4 linked regions of the Rhinolophus ferrumequinum genome follow. The main gene of each other region encodes a partner of the protein of the gene in region 4 in a complex. Links are inferred from orthologs where the notes say so. Each region holds a gene or a part of one and is shown on either strand. Other genes may lie near its edges. The genes, in order: FGFR4, FGFR3, FGF23 and KL.

Region 1 (7,213 bases), on a different chromosome or scaffold from region 4:
ACTCTCACAGTGTATACAACACATGTGCCGCCTGGGCCTTCCAAGCTACACACAGTACACAGAACACACACACGCGCACACACACAGCCAAGGGGCTCACCACCAGCTCTGCAGCCCAGATCAGGGCCCTGGGCCCTGCAAGGCCAGTCCTCTCACGTGGACACAGAGATAGGTGGATGCTTGCTGGGAGCCAGACACTGAGTCTCAGTGGTTGGGCCCTACCCTGTTGCCACCTTCTCAGGGCTTGGGCCAGGATCCTCTCCAGCTTTGCTCAGCCAGCAGTCCCCTCCTGGTGCCCACTCTTCCCACCCCTGCCACCCTCTCCCACCTTAGAGGTCATACCCAGCTCCACTTCCTCAGAGGCCTCAAAGGACAAAGCTGGAGCCCAGCGCGCCCTCAGCAGGACTCCTAACAGGGCCAACAGTAGCTGCATCTCCTTCCTGCTGCTCACGGGGCCCAGGCTGGGCTTCCCACCAACGGCCTTCCTGAAACAGGGAGGGAGAGGAGCCCCTGCTTCATGTGCACCTTGGCTGGCGCTGTTCCCCTATTTTGTGGATCAGAAAACTGAGACAGGAAATGGCGGGCCATTTGTCCGAGACCCCCTCCCCCGCAAGCGGCAGGGCAGACTGGAAGCAGGTCTGCTCTTGCAGAGCCCAAGGCTGCCCCACAGGAGGTTGTGCAGGGAGGCGAGGTGGGGCTTCCTGCTCTCCGAGGGTCCTGCTGAGCCCCTGGCACAAGTTCACAGAAAGGGCAGTTTGGGGATTCTTTCCTTGGAGGCAAGCAGAGAATGAAGACATATCTTCTGCTCGCTCTCAGCACACATAATTTATTTTTTTGCTGAATAAATGAATTTATTGCTGAAGAGCGGGGGGGGGGGAGAATCTGAAATATAAAACAAGGCCAAACTTTAGCATCTGGATGTTATCTGATCTGACCCCCACTCCTTATTAGCATCGCTGACATTTTCACAACCAGCTTTGGATCCGTCCAGTGGCAGGGTGCTCACTACTAACACAGCAGCCCATCCCATGGCCGGCAGAAGTGCTTCCTCATTTGGCACCAGAATAGCATCCTGGGAATACCTCTGCTTTTCCTCCACAACCTCATCTCAGGCAACAGTGGCTCTTGTAAAGAGTATAGACTCTGCTGTCTGACAAAAGCAGGTTCAAATGCTGACTTATCAACTTGCAAGTCCCTGGCCCCGTCTGGGCCGCTGTCCTCACAGGACTGCATTGAGGACGAAAGAGAATATATGCAGGAGCTGGGTACATAGAATGTTGGAATGTTCCCCTGCCCCTTCCCCTCCCCAGGAGGACGGGTACTCTGGGTCTGCCCTCGGCCAGTCACCTCCAGTTCTGGCACTGTTCTTGTTAGGTGTGATGTACACACCCACCCCATCTGGTTACCCTCTTCCAGAGGCCACTAAGGATGTCTCCAACCCCTAAAAGGAACACTCAAACCCAAGCATCAGGTGGGGCGGGGAAGAGGGTGACCAGCGTGGTCCGAGGGGCCTACTGCCTATTCCCTGGGGCTAGGTAACAGTTAGGTGGCACTGTTATCTCTGGATCTACCTTGCCCAGGAAGGCCACTGCACCCTCTCGCCTCAGCTGCTGCCCCCAACCCAGTCCAGCTCTGGCTCTGAGGCAGGGGGTACTTAGCTCGTCCTGGCCAAAGCCATTATCTCCCTCTTCAAACTGCTTCTTTCCTGGGTTGCACCTGTAGCTGGAGCATCATCCCTTTCCCTGCCCTTCCCAACTTCTAGTCCATTCTGCTTCCTCAATCCTTCTCCAGGACAACCCACATCCCCTGCCTGGACCCAGAGTAGGCCATGGTCATCTGTAACTTGGGCCTTTGTGAACACTCCCTGTGCTCTCCAGCCTCGACTCAGCAGCAGGGCTTTAAAAATTACAAGCCGGAACTGTCACCGCCTTCCTGCCAGCTTCCAGAGCTCTAATGACTGTCCGTGTCCAGCAGGATTCAGTGCCCACTGTTTGTCCAGCATCCTAGGTCTCCTTGGCCGGCCGATCTTTGGTCCGGCAGTCAGCCCCTTCAGCCACAGGCTTTCAAAACTGGGCACGTCTTTTCTGCTGCTCATACCTGTGTGCCATTTCTCTTCTACACCTGGCTCAGATGCCACTGTCTTAGCACCCACCTCCAGTTTCCCACCCTCTGTAAAAATCCTCCCACCCTCCCCTCTGCAGGGAGGGCAGCTTTCTGGGGCCACAGCTCCGGTTGGGAGTGAGGTGGGGAGGTCTGGGGATTTTATTCCACACCCAGGCTACCCTGACCTCAGCAACTCGGCGCCCTTAGTTGGATCACGCGGACATGGGGCCGAAGGGCCTGACTCTAGCACCGGGCAGTCTTGGGTTCGCCTCCAGCCGCCCGTTCGCCTCTAGCGCACAAGCACTGGGGGACCCTGGACAAATGACTGCACCTCTGGGAGCTTCACCGTTCTCATCTCGACTCGGGGTTCGCAGACGGTCCAGCAGCTGAGGGACCGGCGCGCTCTTCCTCCTCCACCCCTACCCCGCCACCCTGGGGGGAGGTGCGAGTCGGCGGGTCCTCAGGGGGAGCTGCAGAGACAGCCAGCCCGCCCCCGCCCGGGTGGGCAATGAGTAACCAGCTCCGCGGGCAGGGTGCTCTTTGGACGGAGTGGGACAAAAGGCCCTGTGTGCGTTGCGGGTTACTGATTTACCGTCCCCTCCACCCCCCCCACACCGCCGAGCGGACGCCCAGGTCCCCAGTACTGGGAGGGGGCAGCTCCCGCAGCCCCGCCGCCGCTCGCCCCCTGGCGGCTGTGAGCGCAGGCTGGGCCCGCACCAGGTCCGCGCTCACCTCGAGCCTCCGCGGGCCCGCTCCCGGCAGAGGGTCCCTGCTCACCTGGGTCCTCCGCGGCCCCGCTCCTAGCTCCCTCCAGCCCCCGAACCCGGCGGGGACCGCAGACTCAGCCCGGGCGCTCCTCCGCCCCGGGCTGGAGAGCCAGGAATGCACCCACGAAAGCGGCGTGGCCGCGGGCGGCCCGGCGCCCCGCCCACCTAGGCCCCGCCCCTCCTGGACCAGCTCTATCCTGACAGCGGTGTGGCTGCGGGTGGCGCACAGTCCCACCCACCTGGAAACCAGTCCCCGAACCCAACAGCGTGGAGCGACCGACGGGTCCAGCCCAATCCCGGGGCCCCCAGTCCGCTGCACACCCCCTCAGACTCCGCCTGTTTCGCCCCACCCAGGCCAGGCTTCGAAGTTCTAGTCTATGCTCTACCTCCAGCTTGTCACCCCTGGGGAACAAGACCCAGCAGTCCTGAGCGCCCCCCCGCCCCCGCCTCCACTAACCTTGGCCCAACCTGGCTCCTCTGTCTTCCTAGCAATAGCCATATATATAGTGTCTAGCAAACCCCCTCTGACCCCCTCCCCATCCAATCTCGGCACAACCTTCAGGGTGGTATTTAAAATACAAATCTGACTATACCAACCACAATCACCCCTTTCAAACTTTCCTTGGCATAATCTGCCCCCTGCCCACGTTTCCAGATGAATCCTTCATTCACTTCTTCCTTGCACACACTCTACCTCTGGGCTTTACACTTGGGGGTTCCGCCTCCTAGAAAGATCTTTCCCGGCTAGGTCTGGTTAGTTCCACCTCATTCTTAGATCTCTGCTCACTTCCTCAGAGAAGCCCTCTGGACTTGGCCAGGTTCCTCTTCTTACGTCTTCTCTCCTGTGAGCCTGGAGAAAGAAGCGGAGGGTTGGGTGGGCTGGTGAAGTGATTAAGAGCCCAGATTGCAGGACTCAAATCTCAGCACATCAACACATGGCCTTGGCAAGTTACTCCATTTGTGTCTTCATTTTTTCCTCAGTAAAACGGGTATAATGATAATGTATCAGCCTCAAAAATCAGTTGCAAAAAGTAGACATGTTAGTATATGTAAGCCTTTGGAACACTGCCTGACATAGAGCACTTGCTTTGTAACGCAGGCTATGATCATTTAGGACCTATTATTTCTTTTTTTTTCCTTCAAATTTTTAAAAATTTTCAATTACAATTGACATACAATGTTTTATTAGGTCCAGGTGTACAACATAGTGATTAGACAGTTATATAACTTATGAAGGGATTCCCCCAAAGTCCAGTACCTCTCTGACACCCTACATAGTTATTACAATATTATTGACCATATTCTCTATGCTGTACTTTACATCCCCATGACTATTTTTATAACTGGCAATTTTTACTTCTTAATCCCTTCCCCTTTTTCACCCTTCCTCCAACCTCCCTCCCATCTGGCAACCATCAATTTTTTTCTCTGTATCTATGAGTTTGTTTCTGTTTTGATTGTTTTGTTTTCTAGATTCCACGATAAGTAAAATCATATGGTATTTTACTTTCTCTTACTTATTTCACTTAGCATAATACCCTCTAGGTCCATTCATGTTGTCACAAATGGCAAGATTTGATCCTTTTTTTAATGACTGAGTAATATTCCACTGTACATACATACCACTTTATCCATCTATCTTTGGAGACTTAGATTGCTTCCATATCTTGGTGACTGTAAATAATGTTGCAATGAACATAGGGATGCTTAAGTATTAATAGAACCTGTTATTTCTTAATTGCATGTTCCAGAATTGTAGCTAAATAGCTAATTTTGTAAATGGAAGGCAGAAACTGCCTCCAGACTTCACCGTTACAACTCAAGTGCCTGACACATAGTAAGTGTCCCCCAAATAGTTCTGCCCTTCCAGGCACAAGTCTGCCTTACCTGCAAGCATTTCTCTCCTGAGCGTCTTGACAGTGGCCAAATAGGAGGTCAGCTGATCTTTGACTTCTGTCCAACCCTAACCTGAGGTCCCAGCCCTTTGCTCCTCTAGGTTCCTGGAGGAGAAAGGGAACCCCTCAGTTGGGGTCTCAGCTCACCTCCCAGTTAGCCCAGGACCAGTGGCCAAGGGGAAGCAGGGTCCTTTCCTATTGTTATGGCAAGGCGTCTAGTCTCTTAGTCTCTCCACCCCTACGGAAGCTTTTCCTTTGCATAACTAAAAGGCTCGTTAAAGTGATTTGTTTCTTTTATCTTTCTTTTCCTCCTCAAACAAAAGAATGGTCTCCTTCCAAAGATAAATCAGAAAAGAATCAGCTGCTATCTTTTAAAAACAGCTTGTCCTGGTTCCCCGCCTCCGGGGTCCCTCCTTGCTGGAGCACCCAGGAAGCTTGAAACGCCTGGCACTGGTGTGCCAGCAAATGGTAGCCTCCTTCCCAGAAGGGGTCTCACCAGACTCCCAGAAACTTGGAGAGACGCAGCCCCCACCTCTGGTCCTCTTCTGGCTCTCGTAGTGAATGTGGTTGTTGGGGGCCCGGTGGCTGCCAGCAGGCGCTGGACCCCACACAGCTTTCATTCAACTTCCAGGAACTTTCCAGTTTACCTGAGCCAAAGGCAAAGGCTGCCTGCCTCCTGAGATGGTCAAATCCCTTAGATGGGCAACCTTCCCCCACTCCAGCGCACCCACACATCACTTACCCGGCCCCCCGCCCACACTCACAACCTCTCACACTGACCCTTTGCAGTGTCTGACACTCTTCTCACAAGGTCATTCATTCATTCACTCATTCATTCGCCAAATGTCCCCGGGGAAAAGCAGTGATCAGACCCAGCCTCTACCCTTCTAGGAGCTGCTGACATTGTAGTGGGGAGAGATATATAAGTAAACAGCACAGAAGGAGACCTGTTGAGGGTCCACATCCAAGCCTGTCTCCCCCTCAGAGTCTCACTCTTGTTAACCATCTGTCACCAGTTCACATTTGTACTCTCTCCCAAAGACTTTCAAACGCACACACCCTAGCAAGGGTTCAGGAGTCTGCCCTCCTAAGATCCTGCCTTTAGCTCGCCTCTGCCTCAGTTTCTCCATCCAGAAAATGGGCATACTCCTGCTGCCTTTTCCTCAGAGGCGTTGGAGGAAATGCACGAGTTAAGAGATGGGAATGGGTGTCTCCCAAACAGGAAGTAAAGTCCTGGCCGTGGCTGAGCTCCCGGTAGCTGCCAGGCACGTGCCAGGCTAGGTGTCACCCATACATTCTATCTTTTGACCCTTCCCCCAAGCCAAATGGGGGTAGGGTTCCTTAGTTCCATTTTGCAGGTGAGGAAACGGAAGCTCAGGCAGATGGAATGACTTCTCTGAAGTCACATAGCAAGCGAACAACAGAACTGAGACTTGAACCCTGATCATTCGGGACCATGAGGGAGAGTTCAGGGTGACCCCACGGAGCTGGGATTGTCTTGCTAACACATGGACACACTTTCTGCTCCCATCCTTAAACGTGGCCGGGAAGGTGGAGACCCACCTGAGGGTGAGTGGGGAGGGTGGGCTGGGTCCAGGCGTTTTTCTCCCTGCCCATTTGGCCAGTACTGATGGGGCACCTATGAAGGCCCTTGTCAGGGCTTGGAGATTCTGGGCTCCTGGAGTGCCAGGTTGGGCCAGGCCCCACCCCCACCTGCCTGGGAGCGTGGTGCCAACCATGTTGCTCTTGGATGGCAGCCGGGCCCAGGGAACACTGGGGCTCTTGTGCCGAAGGGCCGCCGGGAGCCCCTGCCCAGGCTTCGCTCCAGACCAGGCCTGGCCCATCCTCTGACCCAGCCCTGGGATTCCTTGTCTTCTTTCTTTCCTTTAAAACAATTTTTATTTTGAGAAAGTTTTAAAATACAGAAAAGTACACAGGGTAATAGCATACATTTGCTACTCAGAACTCACCATTGTTCTCACTTTACCATTTTTCCAGGCATTTTCTACCCTGGCTTCTCCCACAGGCTCCAGGGAAGTCTGGCTTGAGTCATTGAAACGGAGGTGACGTGGACAGCAACTGAGCAGTGGTGAAAGGTTGGGTGTTAAAGCCAGGCAGATGTGGATTTGAATCCTGAAACTTGGTGCCCTTGGATAAGTCACTTACTGTTAAGCCTCAGTTTCATTTTCTGTAAAATGGGAATAACAGCTCTTCTGTGAGAACTCAGCGTGTTGATATAAAGCCCAGTGCACGCAGCCTATGTTCACTAAAGAGTGGCCAATATTAATGTTGACAACTATGGGCCCCAAGGTATGGGAAACATACTCTTGTGACCAAGAGGGAGGGACTGTGAGGGTCACCCCTTCTCCAGCCTTCATATCTCCTCATTCCCCACCCATCGGGCACTTCTATGTCCAGTTTCTATCCGAAGATGACAAAGCCATGAAC
Region 2 (7,131 bases), on a different chromosome or scaffold from region 4:
CGTGGACAGGCCCCAAGTGGAACCTGAGGCCCTGGAGGGAGGGGGCGCTCATGGGCTCAGTGCAGGGGCTCAGAGGCCACAAGTCCAGCCGGGGGCTCAGCCCAGGTTAATGAACCACCCAGACGCCCTAGAGGCTCAAAGTCCAGCTCTGTGGAGGAGGTAGTGGGAGAGGTTGCAGCCAATGCCTTCCGGGAAATGGTGAAATAGTGCACTGAAGAGACCCCTTCAGGCTGGGTGGGTGGTGGCAGCGTCCTGCTGCTCCCATCAACCTCCCTTCCAGGTAGGAGACCCTGCCCAGACCCTTACCAACAACATGGCCTCGTGTGGAGGACCCTGCCTTGGTAGGGCCTGAGGTGACCAGGGCAGTCCCAAGCTGACACCTTTCCCACCGAGTCCTTGACCCTGGCCAGCTCTGGCTCCATAATTTATGATCCTGGGAAAGTGCCAGCCAGGCCGGACCTCTGGAAATTTCATGAGGCCTTTGTATTTTTACTGCCCGGCCCATCTCTTTAAGGAACTGGATTAAGTTTGTTGACCTATCAACTCACTACCTGTTTCACCACCTTTACTGCGGGGACGGGAGTGCGGGGGCGCCAAGGCTGTGGCCAAGGGACAAGGCGCCCAGCCCCCTCCCGCATCCTTGGAGGTTCTTCCTATCGCTCTACCCACGCCCGCACCCGGTGGGGGCACCACAGGCTCTGCGTCCCAGGACCGGGCCTCGCAGTCACCGCCAGTTCCGGGAAGGGGGGTGGATGGAGGAGGCCACTACCCCCGCGCGCAGCAGGGGGTCCGGGAGAGGGTATGGAGCCCCGCCCGCTGCCCCCTCCCCTGGAGCTAGTTGACATTCCCTGGGCGTAGAGAGTAATATCTTTATCTGAATGCGAATGCTAATGCAGGGCTCCCCCCGCGGCCGCCTATTCGGCGCCCCTGGAAGCGGGGGCCGCCCGAGCAGGCGTAAAAGCGCGCGCTGACCTCCCGACGGCCTCTGTCACGCCGCTGAATGACACGCACATTCAAGCGCTGGGCCCACTTTCATTCATAAAAAAATGACATTGTTCCGGGAGGCTGCAGCCGCTGCCGGAGAGAGGGGCGCGGAGAAGGGGGGGGCCGCAGGGAGGGGCGGGCCGCCATCTGCCTGTGTCCTGCCGGCGGCCGCCGCCTCGCTGGCACGGCGCGCCCGCAGCCGCTGCGCTCACACCTCCCCGCGAGGCTGCCCCGGCGCCCGCCGTCAATACGCGTCTATAGCCACGCCGAGGTACAAAGGAGCGGCTGTTCGGGTCCGCCCGGGTGGGGCGTGAGCTCACCGGGCTAAGGCCTCCCTCCGCGCGGCCGCCGGGCAGGGGGCAGGGTGCGCACAGCCCACTCGCCGGCGCCCAGGAGTTGGCTGTCCCCAAGGGGCGGGCTCCCTGCGGTCGGCCGCCGGACCACGCGTCTCCGCCCTGCCGCCCGGAGCCTGGCAGCGCGCGTTAGGTGCGGCGATACCGGGATCGCCCGGTCGGCCTCCGCTGGGGGCGAGCGCTACACCTCCAGGGCCGCGGCGCGTGTGCGGGGCGGGGCCTGGAGCAAAGACGCGCTCCGCCCCTCCGCTGCCCTAGCTCAGCGGGCGGAGCCCTCCTCGAGACCCTCGACGTCCCGCCGGACCTTGACCACCAACTGGGGTCCGCGGCTCCACGTCCCTCGGACGTCCGCCCTCTCACCTCCTGGTGTCCCCCCTGGCGTTCGGCGCGCACTTCTGGGGAGAACACACCTTCATCCACTGGACATGAGAGTAGGGTGGGGGTACGGAGGCACTAGAAGGTGTCGCCTTGTCATGCAGGCTACTGGGTGGCAAGGGCCGGGCCGCGGGCTGACGCACTCTCATACCCTCCCTCCAAAGTCCTGCCCCTCGCTTTGGCCGAAGCTAGCCATGAACTGGGGCCCTAGAGGGGTTGGGGGAACAGCACCAACAATAGAAACTTTCCGTCACTGCAAAACCCGCAGAACAACAATAGGAATCGTGGAGACGCAGCCCCCACGCCCTCCCGATGGCGCCTGGGGGCAGACTGCGCCCACTAGGGAAGAGCGGGGGCGGGAGCTGAGGACGCCACCTCGTGCCCAGTTCCCTGCCTCAGCCTCGCACTTGGGTGGTAGCCCTGCGGCTCCAGGCGCCCCACAAACTGCCGCGCCAGCTCTGGCCACGATCGCCGGGGAGGAAGGGCGGCAGAAACCCGGACACTGGCCTCCCGGTGCCAGCCCAGTACGCGCCTTCGGACCCACTCAGATCCGCGGCCCCACCACCCAGGCGTCCGTTCCCCGGCCGCGATGCCCTCTGCCTGCCGGGGCCCCAGGCCCCTCTCCTGTGCCCGTCGGATCCTTCCTTACCTGCCGCTCTCCGCACGACGCGCTGCTCCGCACCCTGGGGCCCCGAGGCAGCGCGGGTCACAACCGCCACGGCCACGCAGAACACGAGGACGCAAGCCGGGGCGACCATCGCGGGGGCAGGGGCGACGGCTTTCTCAGGCGGAGCGCGTGGGCATGCTGCCCCCCATGGCCCCGCTCTGGCACCGGCGGGAGGAGGGCGCCGCTCGGGAGTCTGCGGGAGGAGGCAGGCAGCTCGTTACCCTGGCCGCCTGGCGCCGGCCGCCTCCTCCCGCCGCGGTCCCTCCCTCCTCCCCCCTTCCCTCCCTGGCTGCTGCTGAGCCCTCCCAGGGCGGCGGCGGCCGCAAACTTTCCAGAGCGGGAAGCCCGCGCCCCGGCCGGGCCTCGCCATGGAGATTGCTCGGGGTCCCGGCCCGCCGGGCGCTCTGGCCCCGCCGCGCGCCCACCTCGACCCCACCGCGCCTGCCCGGCCCCCGCGCACCGACCTGGCGGCCGCCGGCGCCCAACTCGCTGCGCGCGGCCCTTGCTTCGGCTCGCTGCTTGCCGGCCCAGCGCCTGCGCCCCGTCCCTTCTGCCGTCGGTTCGCCGGTGCGTCCGTGCGCCGGGCCGAGAAGGACCGCGCGGCGCCAGATGCCCGCGCCGCCGCCGCCACCGCGCACTGAGCCTAGGCGGCCGGGCGCGCTGCAGCCAGTGGGGGCCGGCCCGCGCGCGCCCCGCCTCCGGCCCCGCCCCGGCCCCGCCCGCCCCGGCGCGTTCGGGAGCGGAGACACGCCCCTCCCCTGGGGCGGTCCGGAGGCGGGGCCGCGTCTCGCCTCGTCCCCGCCCGCGGAGGGGATTAGAGGGGGCGGGGCCGGGCGGGGCCGGGCGGGGGCGCCGGGCGGTCTCCGAGGGCGTGGGAGCCGGGGCTTGAAGGGTGAGGTCTCGGTTCGCACCGCTAGGCGCCCAGGGAGGCCAAGAGCAGGCCTCTGCTCAGCGCGCAGTCCGGTTACCACCCGGCCGCGGATTGGGGGCTCAGTGTGGTCTCGGTGGGTGAAGCATGTCTGAGAGGCTTCACCTAGAAGGTGCTGCCCACGCTGAACCCAGACATGTGAGCAGCCGGTCTTCGGGTGCAGGAGCGCCGGACGGTGTGGGGGCTGGTGCTGTGAGCAAAAGCCTGAGGGTGAAGGGCCGCTCTGCCTGTCTGCTTGGGGCCAGAGTGCAAGAGGACGGCACCCCAGAAGCTGTGGGCTCACTGCTGCATTTATTAAGCACCTGTGGCACATGTAGCTAAGCTGCCTGAGTTCCCTGCCAGAGGGAGTCATTATCCTGCATCCCTAGGTGACAAGTTTGGAGACTGGGTGTTTGACGGGCATCAGAATGGAGAGCAAGGGCTAGGGGCCCCAGGTGGGGGGCCAACTCTAGAGCTCTGAGGAAGGATCACGAGGGGAGCTGCTTGCAAAGTCTGAGCTGGCCTGAGATGTGCCAGGCCCCGGGGCACTGCAGGGTGGTGCAGAGCTGAGCTGGGGAGGACCCCATGTGACTATAGCTTCTGAGCGCAACTTCACAAGGGGTCTCTTCCACTTTCAGGCAAGCCCAGAAGTGTTGAGGCCCTCCAGGAGCAAAAGAGGCGAGAGGGTGTCACCTGGGCATGGCTCAGAGGCACCAGCCAAGTGCCTCGGCCCCCCCTGGCTGTGGCTTCTAGGACTCGGTTTGCACACCAGGCAAATGAGCAATAAACGCCCCTCTGACTGGCTGCTGGGGCCACCCACATCTCAGGTGCTACCTCTGCTGCCAGAAGCCACGGAGGTCAGACTTCAGGGCCTGAGATGGGCCCCACCGCCAGGAAGCCCTCACACCCATCCCTCTGTGCCCACCTGGCAGATCAGCCCCTCTCTGCCACAGGCTGCCATCACTGCCTGCTCTGGTTATGACCATGTACCCCAGACGGAGCGGGGCCCACTGAGCTGTAAGTGGGCTGTCCAGACCCCTCCAGTGCATAGCCCCAGGACACCCACATTTAGGTCCTCCTCCAGGATATGCCATCCCCGGGGCCACAGTGACACATTCTGCTCTAATCTATTACCTGGTTACTTAATCAGTAACTTAGTATGCCAGGATGGATGTGGACTGCTGGTCCCCTTGGCCCCCTTTCTCGGAGTGGGGGGGGCTGGATTGGGCTTGACCCCCCCACACACCCATTTTTTTGTGGAAAGAGCTGGCAGGTGAAGCAGGATCAGCCTGGGTGGGGTAGGCAGGAGGGGCCAGCTGTCGGCACCTGAGGCCTGGCCTTCCAAGGCTCTTCTGAGGTTCAGGAAGGGCTCTGCATTGTCTCTGGCACGTCCCTCCCCAGGACGGCGCCCACAGCCCCTCCCTGGCCTCCTGGTCTCTGAGAGGTGAGCAGCCATCCCTCTGTAGCTTTCTGCTTTCTGCCCCCAGAACTGTGACCTTAGCAGAAGTGCTCGTGGTGGGGTGTGGGCCTGTGTGAGCTGTTCTCTACGTGCCTCCCCCCGCCCTGTTCCTTCTCCCAGCCATCCCAGCCCCACCACAAGCCCCATGCAGTATCTCAGGCCCTCTTGCTCTCCAGCTTCTATGTGGCGTTCGCCAATGGGCATGGCCAGTAGCAGCAGAGGGAGGCAGGGGATGGGCACCTCCACTTTTGCCCCTCTCCCCGTCCCTCGGGCCTGTAGGGGTGGTGAGCCCCCTCTTCCTCCACTAATAGGCCTGGGTTGACCCTCAGTTCTTCACACCCTGTCTTCATTTCCCAGATGGCTATGACAGATTACCACTAACCGATTGGCTGAAATTTCCTCTCACAGTCGCGGAAGCAGAAGTCAGATCCAGGTGTCCAGCACTGGGCTCCCTATGGAGGTTCCTGCCTGCCTCTTCCAGCGTCGGGGGCTCCAGGCATCCCTGGGCTTCTGGCTGCATTGCTCCAGCCTCTGCCTCCATCGTCACATGACCACCCAGCACTTATAAGGACACCTGTCATCAGAGGTGGGTCCCACCCAGATGCTCCAAGATGATCCCCTCATCACAAGAGCTTCCCTTAACGACCCCTGCAAAAACCCTTTTCCCAAATAAGGTCGCATTGTGAGGTTCCGGGGGCAGGCTGAGGCTGAGGACCGCTCCTTTGGAGGCCCCCATTCTGCCCACCACACACCTCGTGCTGGCTGGTCCCTTTGGTGTTCCCGCCCACAAACGAAGTGGTCCCTGCATTTGGCCTCTCCATTGGCTCAGTGGTGGCATTTAGGTCAAAGGTCAGGAGTATTTTTGTGGCTCTGGGCTGAGTTGGCCAAATTACTTCTAAAGGGTCCAGGCGCGGCCCCTGTCAGCCTGCCAAGGGCGTCACTACCCACTTGTCCACCCTTGTTCTTATTATCATTGACAACATAAAGTTCCTATTCCCAGGTCCGCTGCTGCCTGGAGTGTGGTATGCTTCACAGGCCTTCCCATGACGTGGGCGCAGGCCCCTTGTTCATGGTGCCTTCTTTGCCACAGGTCCGAGATTTCGGCAACTCTCCTTAAATGAGCCGCGAGTAGCCACTGTTTCACCACAGCCCCCTGACGGAGCATTTTCCCCAGGACCCTCTGCAGTATCGTCTGGCACCTGCCCAACTGAGGTAGGTGAGCAAGGTACGAGAGTGAAGAGAGCCCGCTGAGGGCGTGTGGTGGCGCAGGAGTCTGAGGGGCAGCCAGCCAGCTGCAGGGGACTCCCACACTGCTAGACCCCTCAGTGTTCACACCTCCCTGCCCACTCCCCCATACACCCACCCCGTCTCCCTGAGGCCCACACCCCCAGGACTCCTGAGTGAAGGTAAGTGTGGAAGGCCAAGGGCAAGGTGAGAGAGTCAGGGGGCTGAGGGCAGCCCAGCACCACGCAGCCTGGTCGGTGAGTCAGAGCCAGATGGCCCGGCTTGCTGGGGCCTGTGCTCGAGCTCCAAGAGGGCTGCCGGGGGGGGGGGAGCCGGCATGCAGTGTGCCCTGGGTGCAGCTGGCCCTGTGTTTACCCCACCTTGCCTCTCCCTGCCAGGCCTGGGCTGAGGCTGGGGACATGGCAGTGAGGTGCCCTCAGCCTCGGTGTCCTTCCTGCTGTGGACTTAATCCACATCCCACCTGCTATCCACAGAGCTCCTGGCAGGCAGTGGCTGCCACAATGCCCGATAGGTGCCCGTCAGCGCTAGTGCCAAGGTAGGCGAGCCCCCTGATCAGCTCCCCTCTGGATGAGTGCCTGGCCCACAGAGAGCGCTGCTGGTGGGAGATTCTCTCTGTCCTGCCCCAAGGCCAAGAGAAGGGAAGGGGACGCTGATGCCCCAAGGGAACTTCAAGTCCCTTTTTCCCTGTCCATCTCTTCCAGGAAGCTCTTGGGACCCCCGGGGGTCTGCTCGATCTCCCCCTGGCAGCTCACCATCTGCAGCGCACATCCATACCTTCCAGGAACACTGCAGGGCACAGGGCCGGGGTCCCGGGAACAGGGCAAGCCACCACAGGATGGAGCAGGGGGGCCTCTCGATGACGGGCTGAGCTGGGCTGGGCTGATCCCCAGCCCCCAAAGAAAAAACAGCAAATTTGAGAGAGGCTGTGGCTGTTGTGGATTGTGGGTAATTTCTGCCTTTTCAAATGTATTCTTGGAAAATTTGAAGAGGGTTAAAATAAAAAAGCACAATTGATTTGCTCATTATAACAGAAATGGAATTTTAAAGAAAAAGGACAAGAGAAAATATTCCAAAATCCATTGGCCACCACTAGCTACTGTCACGATCCTTAATTTTAGCTCTGAGCTTCCTGGTAGGCTGA
Region 3 (7,926 bases), on a different chromosome or scaffold from region 4:
CAGTTTGGCTCAAGTAAACTCATAAAAATTCTCTATAGGTTTGAACATTTCTTACATTGACACAGGCACAAGTATATTCTCCTTTTTGGAAGATGAGGAAACTGAGGCTCAAAGAGGTGAGGCAACGTGATAAAGAGAGCATAGCTGATATGGGGCATAACTTGGTTTCTGACCCAGTCTGTCTAACACAGGACCTGCGTAATTCAATCACAGGACTGTATTAACTCTGAGCTGTGCTAAAGAAAAATGACTCATGCCAGGAAAAAGGCGAGATTGGTTCCGAGTACAGCAAACTGCTGGAGGTGTGAGGAGGCTGAGTTCTCGCCTCTCTCCTTAGACACCCTGCTCCTCCCAATCATGTGGCAGGAGCATCCTGTCCACCCCCCACCCCCACGTCTCAGCAACCATGACCTCCAACAGGCTGGGGGATGCCTGCCTCCGGAAGCCCCAACATCCTGCACTCTGCTGAACCCACAATGTGTCAGGCCGCCCGTTCCAGCTGCAGAACACAGCCGGCCTGACCTGACAGGCTGGGGCTGAATTACCGGCCCCTCAGCTAGAAATAGCCCTCCGAGAAGTTGTGGTGGCTACGTGTCCACAGGGAGGGGAGGAGGCAGGGCAGGGGAGCCAAGGAGTCCCAGGATCCTGAGATAACATGGTCCGGATGTGCAGAGTTCCAAACATGGTGGGCTGGCCTGGGTCACAGGCTCCAAGGAGGTGAGTGGGAACCAGGATGTCTGCTCCCTGACGTGGGCAGCGTGACAAGCCCCAGGCATCCTGAGAGGGCGGGCTGGGTTCCGATGGGCAGCCTTGGAGCACCAATCAGGTCAGACGGACCGTGTGTATCCAAAGTGTCTATTGTTCCTTCCTTGGGCAGAATCCAGCTTTGGAATCATCACTGTCATCCCTCTCGTTTTGGTCAAAGGCACAGAACGGGATAATGGGAGAAGCGGCCTGACAAAACTTCAGGCAGAGCAATCAGACATTGCTCCTTCTTCCCCCGCCTGGAAGAGAGCAGGTATCTATCTTCTACTTGAGTCCCTTTCTTCAGCACAGAACAGAAATGAGACCCATACAGGTGAAGATGAGCTTGCCAAAGGCGGCTTCCAGGACTTCTGCCGCCAGGGTCTGCTCTTCCACTACACGACATGAGTTGGGAAGGGTAAGACCCAGACCGGAGACAAAATAGTTGTGCCAGGAATGATTCCAAAACCTTCACTGTGGGCACTTAGAGGAGTTAACATCCCGAAGTGGGGAAAATAAAACTATGGGAAGCCAAGCAGTGCCATGCCTGGGCCAGTGCGAGGACTAGGGAGGCAGGGAGGCATGTGTGCGCAAAGCGGGCGTTTCCTTTCTCTCCATAGCACCCCATGTTCCAAGTGTTACCGACGAGGCAGGAGCGAACTGTGCACGGCAGGTGAAAAGAGTCACCCAGCTGGTCCTGAGGCAGGCTCAGAATCCAGGTGGCCTGATTCCCTTCCAATGAATAAATGTCACTGTGGTGTGGTGGGGGGACTCCTGCTGACAGTGAGAAGCCTGATTCTGATACTAAGTGTCACCTTGGCTAAGTCACCTCTGGTCCTCAGTTTTCCCTCATTGTAAAAACAGAAAATAATGAGGATTTCTTAAGTTCCCAACATCCAATTATGAGATTCTACGTTTCTATGACCCACACAAAGAGGAAAGTGAGGGAAAAAGAGACCTTTTGATCACGCTGGTTGGGGGAGTTAGCAGGGGAGGAAGAGGAAGAAAATGAAGAGGAAAGGGAATGGATTCACAATTCGTAAGTCTCCCAAGCTCGGAAAACGCCAGGTGGGGTTCTGATTCAGAAAGGCACAAAGAGGAGACGGGTGCTGAGGGGGACTGGGTAGGGAAAGCTGGGACCTCAGTTACCCCAGCAAGGGCCATGAAGTGCCCAGGCTATGAGGTCTGGCAAGCCACAGGGATATGTGCAGGAGTAACAGTTTGGGAGCAACCCCCTCCAAGGAGACCATTTCTGTAAGGGACGTGTGAGACGATCATTATGAAAGTATTTTGAAAAGTTAAAAAGTGCTATTTCTATAAAGTAAAAAACATTTTCTTGGAAGGTAAATAGTGTTGAAGAGAAACAAAGGAGAGTCAAGGAGCCCTCTGGAAATGTGAGTATGTGTAGGGTTTGAGGAAGGAGGTACAAACTCATAAACTTTACACTGAGAATCATTAATTCAAAAGCTGTGTCTCACACGCTACCTCCACCCCACGTGTGGCTTTCTTCTGAGGGAAACAAGCATAACCCAAGTGAAACTTTTGTGAAATCATTCACACGGGCCTGGCCTCTCCCAGCCTGGGACACATGTCGCCTTATCTCCCCCAAGCTGTAGAGGTGGAGGCCAGGAGAGGGTTTCCAGTGAGAAGGGTGTTAGTGGAGAATGGGGTGGGGGGGTCGGTGGGGAAGGAAAGGGGCTTGGGGCTGCAGCTGGGGATCAATCGCTTGGACTTCTCCTGTGTCCTCTGCCCTCCAGCTCTTCTATGACCTTTAATTTATTGGGGTTCCCCAGTGAAAGCATCTGCAGTGCTCTAACCCCTCTGTGTCCAGCAAAATATGCTTCTGGTTATGGCACCAGAGGCAAGATAGCAGTGGCACGGATCCTGTAATATTACAGAAGTCATTTGTATTTCACTTCAGACTGTATAATAAGGGCTCTATTTATATGTTTAGATTTCCTTTTGACTACATCTGTTGGGCTGACACTGATGTTATAATGATCTATAATATTAAATTATAAAATATATAATTACATACATGATATTAAATATTATATTAAAGGCATCTGCCTTGCTTGAGTTTATCCCTAATCCAGTGTGGACATTATAAGCAAGGCAGGGGAAGAGAATCGAGCCAGCCAGAAGAGAATTTAAACACTTCCAGGCACCATTCACAGGTGGGTAACTGTGAGGTGGATGATCAAGTGTAGCAGGTGACAAAGCAAACACTTGGGGGGTGGGGGCTGGAAGACAAGACAGTGTCCTACACCTAGGATCATTCTGTGAACACCTTTAAAGAAGACTGTTGTAGCCATGAGCATTTAAATGTCCTAAATCTCCTATCTAACCCGAGAAGACTGCACCCTGCCCCGTAGAGACACATGCTGGGCAAAGGCTTGGGTTTGCTAGAGAAAAACTGAAGCATACTATGCCTCTTTGTTACTTGCACTTTCTTACCGAGCCCTTAGCTCTCTGGCTTTTTTCTTAACATGTTGTGGGGTTCATACATCTTCTAGCAAAGTGCTTAGACGGTCTGGAGTCAGACTGCCCAGATTCCAATTGGACCTCTTCCACATATCAGCTGTACACCTTGGGGCACATTACTTAAACTATGTGCACTAGTTTCCTCATCTCTATGAAGGAAATGGCAGCATCTCTTTAACGGGTTATTATGAAGATTAAATGAGTTACTACAATAAAGCACTTAGTTAAGTACTCGATACATGTTAGTAGCAACTATGGTTATTATTGGAGAAACAGCTTTGGGAATCAGAAGACCTTGTCCTAGTTCCCCCATTTATTTGCTTTGTGACTTTGGACATATGAACCCCAAGATCTCCATTTCTTTGTGTATAAAATTAAAATATTGGTAATGCCGGGTGTGCCTGTCTCACAGAATGGCAGTAAGATTCAAATGAGTTAATACAGAGAAAATGCTTTGTAAATTATAGAAACTCTAAGAGAAATGACACGTCCTGTGTCCTGCACCTATATCATTGCACAATCCATCATGTTTTGTATATGTTTACTTATTTTTATCTGCCTCTTCCATGAGCCTGTGAGGTCCTGTATGCGGGTATCACATCTTGCTCGCTCTTCTACCAACCACGATGTCTAGCCTGATGCCTGCACATGGTATGAATGCATCAAACGGGAAATTGGGAGAGCCACAACCTCCTGTTGTGTATGTTTTCGAGTATGCATTCCAGTGGCTTGCTCCGCATTGGACTGCATGTGCTAGGACTATCCCTCCACATCAGATGCAGCTTCCCAGAGGACACACCTGTGAGCAGCATCTGTGAGAAAGGGTCCAGTCCCAGGAGCCAGACACCCATAGGACACTCATTGTGGGGACAGCCTAGCCTGCTACTGCACTCCTGGGTCCTTCCTGGCCTCTGACCTCCTGTGCTCAGCCAGCGGTCTTCCAATCTTCATGAGGTCTCTGAATTAGTCTCCAAACTATTGGAGAGACCATAATACTTGCCCTAGACAGTCCAAACCAGGGACACTGAGAAATCAAACCTCAGCATTTTGTAGAGTAGCAGTGACTTCAAAGCGTTGTTTCTTTCTTCCCATTTTGAACTCTTCCCAAAATGGCAACTTTGGTTTTTGCACCTCTACTCATAGCTCCCATGTCTTCAGGAGGAGATGGGTCTCAGAGGGTACCATTTGCCTGATGGTGCCCTGTGTTATTTCTGTATCCTTCAAAACACCCAGCTAGTGCTGTGCACAGAGAAAGCCCTGAACATATAGTTGCCGAATGGATTAAAAGAACTGAGAAAACCAAAATGAATAAACTCAATGGGAGATTAATTGCACAGGAGTCTGTTGACCGCATGACTGAAGATGGATTTTTTCGGAACCACTGGCTGCCTTCACATTTCCTGCTGGAAGTGGGACAGGTCAACAACAGACAACCCAGAGTCGTAGATAACTTTTGCCCACACATCATTCACTTTTTGGAGCGTTGGCTTGAAATTGAGGGGTTTGTGTGCCTGTGTTTCTGGAACCGACGTGCCTTCCGTGAGCCCTAGAGGTCTCTGCACTTTCTTCAAATGGGCTGATTACAACACAGAGGATGTGGACAGTGGAGTTTTTCCTGTTTGATGTCACACTGCTACCCTTTAAAAGTCCGAGGGAAAAAAGGAGGGAACCCAGCCTGGGATCCTCACACCAGATCCCCACAAAGAAGAAGAGGAGAAAAAGGCCAGGGAGGCCAGCCCACAGTCAGGGGGCAGTGTCAGGTTTCAATTCTGTGCCAGCCACTCAGAGAGCAGTGATGTCGGGGCCCAGCCTGGGGCTCCTGGTCTGCATCCTGTGCAGTGCAGTCAGAGCCTTTCCCGATGCCTCCCCACTGCTCGGCTCCAGCTTGGGTGGCCTGACCCACCTGTACACGGCCACAGCCAGGAACAGCTACCACCTGCAGATCCACAAGGACGGCCATGTGGATGGCACACCCCATCAGACCATATACAGTGAGTAGGGGCTTCATTCTGGCTGTGGAGAAGGGGGGTTCTGTCCATCCACCTACAAGGGACTTGGGGATACCTTGCATTAGGTCAGAGGGCTAATCCAGCCTCCTAGCTTCTTGCCCAGGACCTGTGTGTGTGTGTGTGTGTGTGTGTGTGTGTGTGTGTGTGTGTGTGTGTGTGTTTAAACCTTGGGAGAAGATTCTGCCACCTCCCTAATTAGTATTTACTGGTTTCTCCCAACATGAATAATTTGTCTTAACTAAAATCCCTCTTCCCACAATAGCAGCCACTTTCTCTTTGTCCTGTCCAAAGAGGTCAAAAAATGTGCAGAAAGAGCAGCAAGAAGGCTAAGAGAAAAAAGGCAGATAGGTCAATAAACGCTGAGTTTTAGCTCATGAACTTTGGACTGGGTTAGCAATGGAGGTTGTGAAGAAGATTCCACACCAAGGTTTGGGATAGATGAACTCAGCGGCTCTTTGCAACTCCAACTCTGAGCTTCTTGTATTCTGGCCTTACGAAAGTTATCAGGAAAAATGTATTAAAGACAGGCTATCCAGGTATATTGTCTTGGTGAGTCTGATCAAGTATACAAGCCATTCATGCACTCATCTGTCTGTGCATGCGTGCATGCATCCGTCCAGCCATCCATCCAACAGGTTTACTGGGAGCTTCGAGGTACTTTGGTATGAATTACTGACTCTTCTCTGTGGAGCTGACAGGTCCATTCAGTAGCAGATTAAGCTAGTTGGAAACTCTTTGCCTACACAAGACAACTGGAATGTTTTTAAAGATTAGGTTTTTGAAAGTTGGTTCACCCGTCCACAATAGTCAATTATTTATTATTCAAATGAGGGTCTCTTGGTTGCACCTTTATAAAAGATAACAGGGTAGGAGGGAGGATGGATATTGAAAAAGACAAGATCTTCTATTTTATGAAAATATGTAAAAATTACTCTAAGGAAACAGAAAAATGCACACTGATTCAATATAGATCAAATTAAAGGAACAAAAGAATAATCACAGTCTCTGTTTACTCAAAGAAAACTTCTTATAGGAATACCAATTTACTCTTCATTATTATACTAAATTACTCAGTAATTTTGCTGTGACCTTGCTGTATGCAAGACACTAATTTTGCTAAGAATCAAAGGTCCTTAAACCTGGTGGCAAGATACATGCACATGCAAAGCCAACAGTTCAAACTTTTGCAAGCGTTCAATGAGTGGTGATAGGAGGTGAGAGGAAGGAGAAAAGGTCTGTCCAAATACCAAACAGATTCCAGAACTCACATAGATACAGTAGAATTCAGGAGTCAACATCTTGAAAGCCAAGTTTGAGTCTAACGGCAAAAACCTGCAATAAATCTGGATACACTTGAGGCACCCAGAGTGCCAGTCATATTATCCAGTGGATAGTTAACAGAACCTGTGATGTGTGTGACATCATACAAAGCTCTGTGACTACAAAGGAAGACACAGCATAGCGGGCCACCCTCACTTCCACTGCAAGGTGATAAGTGATTTAAAATGCATGACAGTGAATTATGGTAAATTATCTTGATTCCCATAGATGGAAAAGACTTCATACAACTAGAGAATGCTGATGAAACTTGTCCAGAATCATGGACTCCCTTCACTGAAAGACATGTCCTCCTGAACACGACATAGAGAGGAACAGTGTGTGCCAGCTGTGATGGGCTCACTGCTGCAGCGTGGGGCCCAGGCAAGCACCGGGGAGCAGGCAGGCAGAATTGTAGAACTTTCCCTCAAATATCCATGGACCGCAGGCCCACAAGAGGCACTGAGCACTAGTTGGAATTAATTATTAGGTTGGTGCAAAAATAATTGTGTTTTTGCAATTATTTTAAACATTTAACCTGCAATTACTTCTTTTTTTTTAGTATTTTTTTATTATTATTTTTTAATTTATTGGGGTGACAATTGTTAGTAAAATTACATACATTTCAGGTGCTGCAATTACTTTTGCACCAACCTAATAAAATGACTGAAAAGAAGCGAAATGAATTGAACTGATTTCAGATTTTTTTTTTTGACAGAAAAGTGATTTTGTTTTGTCAGATATAGATACTAGCTAAGCACTGTGCCTCTGGATATCAACACAAACCTAGGGAGGGGAACTCAGGTCAGGGTGGTGGAGGGAGACAGTTTTCTTAATTTATATACTCTTTTGTGCTATTCAAATCAGTTATCATGTGCATTACCAAAAATTATATGTGTATATATATATATATATATATATATATATATATATCCTGAAATGAAGAGTTATCAAAAGGAGAGAGGAAACATTGGTGCATGTAGGTAGGTAGCACAACTAATTAACAGAGGATTTATAATTACCGCCTCAGCGAGCATAAAGCAATACTTTTAAACCAACAGGAAGGTGTGGAATGGTTTTCTCCCCTCCTAATTATTTATAGACTTCCAGTGAAATGTTTCGTTTGATTATTGTGCTTTTTAGTAAAGTCTTGATTAATAGTCAAGAGCCCAATCGGTCTTCGGGTTGCTGGTCACTGTGACATTATCTGCCGACAAGATTCTATAACTTCCTTTCAGACTCACAGCGCTCGTGTCTGGGAGCCTCTCCCGTGTCCCCATGTGCTGTCCTACTGTGAACAGCACCACCCTCCCATTGCCCACTAGCCCCATTTTTGGAGGCAGCAGAAAAGAGATGCTTCTCACCCCTGGTT
Region 4 (7,245 bases):
GTCCTTCACCAGCATCAGATCCCCAAATGAAAATGAATATGCGAGCCCCCCAATATGCGAGTGGCCCCCAACAGCAATATCCAAGGCCCAGTGAAAATGTTCTATTAACAAAACCTGCAGAATATGTTTTATCTTTTCCAATAAGATCAAAACTTCCCCACCCTCCCCCAACACATACACCAAGAAAGAACATAGAAAACAGAATGAAAATATCTCATGAAAAAAGTTAAGATATTGTCTTTGATAATGAATGCCACCTTGCTTCGTAAGATACAAAAATGACTAAATTCCAAAGGAAAGAAATTTGAAAGCAAAATTAATATTTTACAGCAACTAGCATTTTGTTTTCAGCATCAGGAAAACCAAGTGTTCACCTGTCACTAATAGCTTATGAACACAAAGTCCACTGCATTTCTGGGAAGAATGGTTAGTGTTTGGCCAATTTTTTTGTGTAAGGGTACAAAAATGTTAATCACATTTTTGTGATTAGTTAATTTTGTGAAAAGTTAATCACAGGGCAGAGAGTGGACACAAGAATCAAAAGCATGTTGACTATTTAAAACATCAGAACACTCCTGCTGTCCCAATTCCTCACCTTATAAATAAAGTGATCATGTAAGTCACTAAAATAGCAAGTGACACCTTTTGTATACATGCAGAGTTTATTACATGCACTCTAAAAATATAACTCGTGTGATTTAAATCTAAAGTAGTGATTTTGCAGAAATGGTCTACTAGGTCCTCCAGCTGGTCCATGAATCTCTCTCTCTCTCTTTTTTTTTTCTGGTATGAACTGAAATTTGCTTATGTTATCTTCAAAAGAGGGGGCCAGTTCTTCCCAATAGTTTTTCTACCACCAACCATAAACAGGTAGTGCTTAGGGTCTTTTGATTCCTTAAAAGGATGGCAAGAATGAAAAAGTTTATTACCATTGCTCTAACATACCTTAATGAAAAGATATACAGCAATATGAAATCACTAAAATTGCATTTTTTCCCCAAAAACCTAACATTCTTTTATGATCTGTGGTTTTGTGGAGCTGACAAACAATCTATTCAGCATTATTACAACATTACTGGCAGCTCTGAGTACTGAATCAACTCCATAACCCAGTAATGTTCTACCTCAGTTATCTATGGCTTCAATTAAAAGTATGTAGAAGTGGTCTTTGTCTTGAATTTGCTCAAAATATGTGGCTTAATTCTAAATTTAAAAATAGGTCTTGCAGTGGGCCTACAAGTCACCAAACTACAGTTCCAAAAACACGTAAACACTTTTATTAAAATGTTCGCACATATACATAACATATTCTCTTGCTATACAAAACTCTGTATAAAGTGTACCAACACCTGGCATCACTCTAAAAGAATCCTCAAATCAATGGGACCTAATCTTGAACACTAAGTAAAGGAGGAAAAGGGGGATTGTTTGGGAGACAACTTTATCATGGCATATCAACACTTCCTGCTGCCAAAATTTATTAAGCTTTTTGTACAAGGGTCTTAAAATCCATTTTGTCAAGAGGAATCCTGCCAAGTGGAGAGAGCATCATGGAAATACAGTTGTTGGAGGACACAGTCTATATTCCCCTGTAGTTGTGTATGTATTTTTATGGCTAGCTTTAAGAGTACTTTGGGGGGTCTTCACACCCCTGACAAGTAAGGTTGAATGGAAAGAACTTCCAAAGACAGTTTAAACCTGCTCTCCCAGAGATGAGATTTTGACACGTTTGCATTTGCTGCAGTGTGAACTTGAATCCCAAGCAAGACAGATCTTATTGGATTAACATTGAATTCCTGCCATCTCCACAAACTCCAGCTGAGAGAAATGCTGTCTGGGCAGCTTCGGAACAAGCTTGTTTCTTTCATCCACCATCTTCATTCTCCCCAAAGCTACTAGTAAATCCTCCCACCTTACCTCTAGGGATTCCTCTACACCCAGAGAAAGGAGCTCCTTTTTTTTTTTTTTCTCACGGGAGAAACCTATTCCAATTTCTTTCTGACAAATGGGCTCCAAAGGAAGCCCGAACTGCTCAGTCACTACACCCTGTGCAAATCCTAGGTGAGTGCGCTCTCACAAAGCGGTTCATAGGGAGCCTCGTCTGAGCTGAAGGCTCGGGCACCCCTCTTGCCCTGGCGTCTCCAGAGGCCCCGTCCCCGGCGTGGCCCTCCGCCTGGCCCCTCGAACTCACCAGGAGGAGGTTGTGCGCCACCAGGTACCCGAGCTGTGCGCTGCCCCGGACGCCGGGGGCTAGGCGCCCGGTGGCGTAACCGTGCCAGGCCACCACGTAGGGGTTGTCGATGGTGATCCAGTACTTGACCTGGCCGCCGAAGTGGCGGAAACAGAGCTCAGCGTAGTCCCTGAAGTGGTCGGCCAAGGCGCGGTTGGCCCAGCCGCCGTATGTGTCCTGCAGGCGCTGGGGCAGGTCCCAGTGGTACAGGGTGACCACGGGCTGCACGCCCAGCTCCCGCAGCCGCTCCAGCAGGCGCCGGTAGTAGCGCAGCCCCTCACGGTTGGGGGCTCCGGCGCTGCCATTGGGGAGCACCCGCGCCCACGAGATGGAGAAGCGGTAGTGGGTGACCCCGAGCTCGCGCAGCCCCTCTGTGTCGCGGAAGACGTTGTTGTAGCTATCGCTGGCCACGTCCCCGGTGGCGAGCGGGGACGGCGTCGGGGCGCCCGACGGGAGGCCGGCTACCAGGGGGTCGCCTGCGGGCGTCGAGGAGTGGTGGGTGAATGTGTCCCAGATGGACGCGCCCTTGCCGTGCTGCCTCCAGCCTCCCTCCGTCTGGTAGGCGGCGGTGCCCACGGCCCAGTGGAAGCCGTCGGGGAAGGTGTCGTGGAGAAGGCCCGCGGCCTCGGGGGCCGGAGGGCGCGCGAAGCGGGCCCAGGTCTGCGCACCGTCGCCGGGCTCGGCGCGCAGGCGACAGCCACCCAGGGCCAACAGCAGCAGCAGCAGCGACAGCGGCGGCCGCGGGCGGCGCGGCGGGGCGCGAGCGGGCATGCTGCGCTGGAGCGGGGCGCCGGGGCCCGCGCCGCCCCTTTATGCCCGCGCCCCCCCCCCGCCGCGCCGCCCGCCGCCCTCCGGCTCGCCCACCCCCGCTTCCCCCGCGGGCCCGCTGGCAATAATTACCTGCGAGTCGGCGCCTCCCCCACCCTGGAATGGAGGAACCCGGCGCAAAGGGCAAGCAGGTGTCGGGGGAGGGGGCGCGACCGCGGGCAGGGGGCAGCAGGCGCCCCTCCTGGACGCCGGAGAGAAAACACCTGTTCCTCGCTGCGCCCCGGAGCGAGGAGGATGTTCGGGCGCCCCAACTTCTCTGCGCGCCGCCTTCTCTTCCCCATCCGCGCGCGCTCCGGGAGGAAGGCACCGAGCCGGCGTGGGTCCCGGAGGGAAGGCGGCCAAGCAACTTTCCCCGAGTGCGGCCGGGGTCTTTGCCCGGCCTCGCGGGTCCGCAAGCGGGAAGCACCTGCTTTCTCTTTACTCGCATTGGGAGGCCAAGAAAAGCGTTAGATTGACATGACTAGAGCCTACTAGGAATTGGCTGAAATCGTGTTGGGAAGGCAAGGTGGGATAGCTAGGTCGGAACTTTGTCGCGAGAGGGCTGGAGGCGGACTTTCCTTCAAGTCTGTGGCTGAGATGCTTGCGGAGAGCCGCTCACTCGCGCAGGGCTGGATGGCGGTCCTGCAGGCCCCAGTCTAGGAAGATACGGGAGATGCATGGGTTGCCTCAGAACTTTCTTTCCTCTCTCTCTTATTGTTATCCTTTAACCATTTCAAACCAGGGCTTGCTCTTTAATTAGATCTTGCAGACTGACTAGGTGAGCTTCAAGTGACAGTTGTTGATTGTTCTTCTAAAAAGAAAAAGGGAAGAAAACAAAACACCAACGTTTCCACTTTGAGTAACCGTCTTTCACGTTTATTACCGTTTTTCATTCATTTTGAGGAATAATCATGTGTTTTCGCTTTCAGCTCTAGCTTGCCAAGTAACTTATCTGTGTGAAGTTGTGCACACAGCTGTGGTGGAGCCAGAGGTCTCTGCGGCTCACAAATGTCACCTGAGCTGTGAAGAGAAAGGGGAGGAGGGATTTAGCCCAAGCAACCACTCCCTCTGCAACAAAATAGAGTCGTGATGTTTGTCTAGTTGCCAAAGAGCCCTTTTGACAGAAGTTGTCGGGACACAGTGTCCCTTCCAATACGTGTATATGGGAAGCCGGGGCTCCACCTTTGTGGTCGTGGCCAGGACACACCTTAGGATCCTGATCTATCCAATGGAAATAGCCATGTCTGCCCTGACACCTTAGAAACTTGTGAAGCCCACAGATGACTGAACCAGGAAAAGCCCCGACAAATGTAAGATCTTGCTAATATCTGTACCTCCCTTTTCAATGGGGTGTGCTTCTGTCAACCTGTGTTGAACGAAGCTCCTCCCAGAGGTACAGCCGTTCTCATCCAGTGAGCACCCCTGCACTGTTTCATATAAATTTAAAATCTGTAAAGTTTTAAATATTACAGATGAAGGTACTTTTATTAATTCCCTTAAAATGTAACCACAACACCTTTATTTTGGTATTTTATTAAATAGTCCCAACTCCAGCTAGCATGTATTATCATGATTAGTAAGACCAAGCCCGCAGACTGGAATAAGACTTTTTGCTATTCTGTTGCATGTGGCATTTACATTTTCCATTAAATGTGAACTAAAAAAACAATGACACTTCAGCAATTAAAAAAATTACACTACTCAACTGCATAGTCACACTCTTCCAGCTAAATTAAAAGGCTTCTCTGCCTGCATGCAGGATCACATTTCCCTTCTAGAGCTAGAGACTGGAGTGTTTGCTGCATTGTAACTTGTTAAGTTTCAATTAAAAATGCTTCCTGGGTATCACAGAAAATAGTGTTGGCTAAGTGTTCACTGAGTGATGTCTGTATGGTCTGTTTCCTCAGGGCAGATTGTATCTATTGCTACTTTTATTTAACCAACAATACATTTCTAAAAGTTATTTTTTAGAGAAGTTATTAAAAAGAAAGACCAAGTTGACGAAATGCTTCACGTTTAAAGTTCATCTCTCTCTGAGGGGGCTGTAAAGTGCTATATCCTCTAAGTTGGACATCAAAGCTTTCAGCATTTGCAGGGATGTTCCTAGGTGATAGTTTATTTAATCCAGTGATAAAGATTACATGAGAATTAAACTTTGTTTCCAGAACTCAATGTTTATCAAGGTTCTGTTCATGGTTATTATGTTCTGGGATTCCTGAAGTGTGACTAACTGCTACTGCTGCTTCTCATTTGTTCAGTTCTTACCTTTCACAGCCACCTTTGAACATCTAAAATGTGGATTTCATTCAATGCTTTGTTCTCCCACAAATAAGAGTTTTATTCTTTGCTGTGTTTTGAATGTGAAGTTATTGGTACATTGAAGGAAAGGAAAATTTTAAATTGACTTATTGACTTTTGTCGTGATGATGATTTGCAACAACCTAATGGGGGGTCATCAAGCTGACACATTCCTTCATCCTCATCCTGTCCCTTCTGGCCAGTTCTTGCCCTGTGTGCTCTTGGGGTCCCCCGGAGCCCTCCTTGGCCAAGGTAACAGAAGGAGACTCGCTGACCCACATGGGCCCAAACACAACACCAACCTCACGGGCATTCAGCTCACCAGCCACAGTCATTCAGCCTCACGGGGAGTTACTAATATATGTCAGCAGCAGCACTCTGAGCAACGGTGTGGGCAAAGCCACCGTGGAGAGCTTAAGACTTACATGACAACCCCTGCCCTCAAAGATAATGCTGGATTAGAGAAAGGGGATAAACACAGTTGACAACAAATAAGTTTTGTAGTTTATTATGTTAAACAGTAATAAATGACACATGTGATAGCTGTTAGAGGAATTCAGGGGAAGGAGAAATTGTCTTGTTTTGAGGGGGCTAGCAAAGTTTCACAGAACAGAGGTGACAACATTTGGGGTTTAAAGAGTAGAAGTTGCAAGGCGACCTGAAGGCAAGGATAATAAGGAAGCAAAACATGGAAGCAAACAATGTTCACCGTGTTTTTGTGGTTTAAAAAAATAAAAGTCTGTGCAAGGAAATAGTGGACTGAAACGGTAGCGAGGGGTCAGACCATAAAAGGTCTGTAATAGGTTCTATCATTATGTCGCATCAAAGCCTCGACCTTCACTTACTCCTTAAACTAATGTTTGCATTGTTCCGACCCCTCTTCTAGGCACGAGGCAGGCAGCAGTTAATGAAATAGACCAACGACCCTGCCCCCCTCTGATACCGCTCTCCCAGTCTTCCCTCTGTTCCAGCCACACTCGCCTTCTGGTTGTCTTTGGAACAAGCCGAACTGGCTCCCAGCCTCAGGGCCTGTGACTGGCAGTTTGCGGTCTCTGGTATGCTCTTCACAGGGACCGCCTTCTTCTCCTCATCAGGTCTTAGAGCAGCAGCCACATTCTGAGAGCAGCGTTCTTTGACCTCTCTGTCCAGAGCTGTTATCCCCAGTGACTCTCAATGATTTTCCTCACAGAACTTATGACTATCTCAGATTATCTTGTTTGTTTACTTGTTTACTTCCTGTATCCCCAGCTAGAATGTAAGCTCCATGAGAATAGGAATCTGGCTTTTTCTTTGCAGTATCTCCAACACCTAGAATAGTGCTTGCACGTTATAGGTGTTCCACACACATTTGTGGAATGAACGAATAAATGAACAAATGAATGAATGAATGAATTGGTAAGAAATGGCCGAAGAATGTAAGCTCCATGAGAATAGGAATCTGGCTTTTTCTTTGCAGTATCTCCAACACCTAGAATAGTGCTTGCACGTTATAGGTGTTCCACACACATTTGTGGAATGAATGAATACATGAACGAATGAATGAATGAATGAATTGGTAAGAAATGGCCGAAGCACATTGTTGAGAACTGTGAAGCCACATCCTGGCTTCTAAAGGAGGCTGTGATTCATTGGTAACATCTTCCCTGAGCACAAGAAAGAGAAATGGTCCTAACAGTGCCATATTTGATATCCTGCATACGTGCTATGGTAGGCCACGTCCCAAGCCTACTCTACTAAAACTTCAGGTAGTTCTGATGCTACAACAAGAAATAGAACACAAAACTATGTCGCTGAGCAGTAGTTTAAGTGCTGATGTATGTGGTACACCTGAGACACCGCTGACAAGCCCAAGACGATTGAAAAGACAGTGGCATTAGAGTTCGGAATGTCTCTGATGCAGCAAACTCCTC

Evidence for each region.
Region 1: the proteins of KL (region 4) and FGFR4 are in contact, whole or in part, in a cryo-EM structure (PDB 7YSW), measured with the Homo sapiens proteins. The link is inferred for Rhinolophus ferrumequinum from reciprocal best matches to the Homo sapiens genes KL and FGFR4. Residues at the interface, in NP_004786.2 of Homo sapiens: Ser539, Gln540, Phe541, Thr542, Asp543, Asn545, Val546, Tyr547, Leu548, Trp549, Asp550, Val551, His553, Ser554, Lys555, Arg556, Leu557, Ile558, Val563, Thr565, Arg568, Tyr571, Val573, Ala576, Gln579, Pro580, Glu625, Arg628; in NP_001341913.1 of Homo sapiens: Asp266, Gln282, Leu284, His286, Ile287, Ile289, Gly295, Ala296, Asp297, Gly298, Phe299, Pro300, Tyr301, Val302, Gln303, Val304, Leu305, Lys306, Asn311, Ser312, Glu314, Leu318, Tyr319, Leu320, Arg321, Asn322, Asp327, Thr332, Leu334, Leu341.
Region 2: the proteins of KL (region 4) and FGFR3 are in contact, whole or in part, in a cryo-EM structure (PDB 7YSU), measured with the Homo sapiens proteins. The link is inferred for Rhinolophus ferrumequinum from reciprocal best matches to the Homo sapiens genes KL and FGFR3. Residues at the interface, in NP_004786.2 of Homo sapiens: Ser539, Gln540, Phe541, Thr542, Asp543, Asn545, Val546, Tyr547, Leu548, Trp549, Asp550, Val551, Ser554, Lys555, Arg556, Leu557, Val563, Lys566, Arg568, Tyr571, Val573, Ala576, Pro580; in NP_000133.1 of Homo sapiens: Gln286, Leu288, His290, Val291, Val293, Gly299, Thr303, Pro304, Tyr305, Val306, Thr307, Val308, Leu309, Lys310, Glu320, Leu324, Ser325, Leu326, His327, Asn328, Val329, Glu332, Asp333, Thr338, Leu340, Phe347, His349.
Region 3: the proteins of KL (region 4) and FGF23 are in contact, whole or in part, in a cryo-EM structure (PDB 7YSH), measured with the Homo sapiens proteins. The link is inferred for Rhinolophus ferrumequinum from reciprocal best matches to the Homo sapiens genes KL and FGF23. Residues at the interface, in NP_004786.2 of Homo sapiens: Phe377, Lys385, Leu389, Glu390, Pro392, Trp417, Phe418, Ser420, Lys429, Tyr432, Tyr433, Lys436, Phe437, Arg468, Ser471, Ile472, Arg556, Arg693, Asn694, Met695, Thr696, Tyr697, Ile735, Val752, Phe755, Asp756, Asn782, Asn783, Leu785, Ile812; in NP_065689.1 of Homo sapiens: Leu39, Met74, Ala80, Val88, Arg91, Leu166, Ile167, Phe169, Asn170, Ile173, Arg175, His177, Asp184, Ser185, Glu186, Arg187, Asp188, Pro189, Leu190, Asn191, Val192, Leu193, Lys194, Pro195, Arg196, Ala197, Arg198, Met199, Thr200, Pro201.

Annotation. Positions count from the first base shown.
Region 1 is NC_046307.1:5,528,734-5,535,946, forward strand, and holds the start of FGFR4 (fibroblast growth factor receptor 4), read right to left. Parts: upstream 3,005-7,213; 5' UTR 2,881-3,004; intron 486-2,880; 5' UTR 434-485; coding exon 343-433; intron 1-342. UniProt on the Homo sapiens protein: Tyrosine-protein kinase that acts as a cell-surface receptor for fibroblast growth factors and plays a role in the regulation of cell proliferation, differentiation and migration, and in regulation of lipid metabolism, bile acid biosynthesis, glucose uptake, vitamin D metabolism and phosphate homeostasis.
Region 2 is NC_046288.1:87,185,516-87,192,646, forward strand, and holds the start of FGFR3 (fibroblast growth factor receptor 3), read right to left. Parts: upstream 3,006-7,131; 5' UTR 2,844-3,005; intron 2,573-2,843; 5' UTR 2,471-2,572; coding exon 2,362-2,470; intron 281-2,361; exon of another isoform or gene 147-280; intron 1-146.
Region 3 is NC_046293.1:86,507,824-86,515,749, forward strand, and holds the start of FGF23 (fibroblast growth factor 23), read left to right. Parts: upstream 1-4,912; 5' UTR 4,913-5,023; coding exon 5,024-5,219; intron 5,220-7,926. UniProt on the Homo sapiens protein: Regulator of phosphate homeostasis. Inhibits renal tubular phosphate transport by reducing SLC34A1 levels. Up-regulates EGR1 expression in the presence of KL. Acts directly on the parathyroid to decrease PTH secretion. Regulator of vitamin-D metabolism.
Region 4 is NC_046287.1:96,186,875-96,194,119, forward strand, and holds the start of KL (klotho), read right to left. Parts: upstream 3,002-7,245; coding exon 2,192-3,001; intron 1-2,191. UniProt on the Homo sapiens protein: May have weak glycosidase activity towards glucuronylated steroids. However, it lacks essential active site Glu residues at positions 239 and 872, suggesting it may be inactive as a glycosidase in vivo.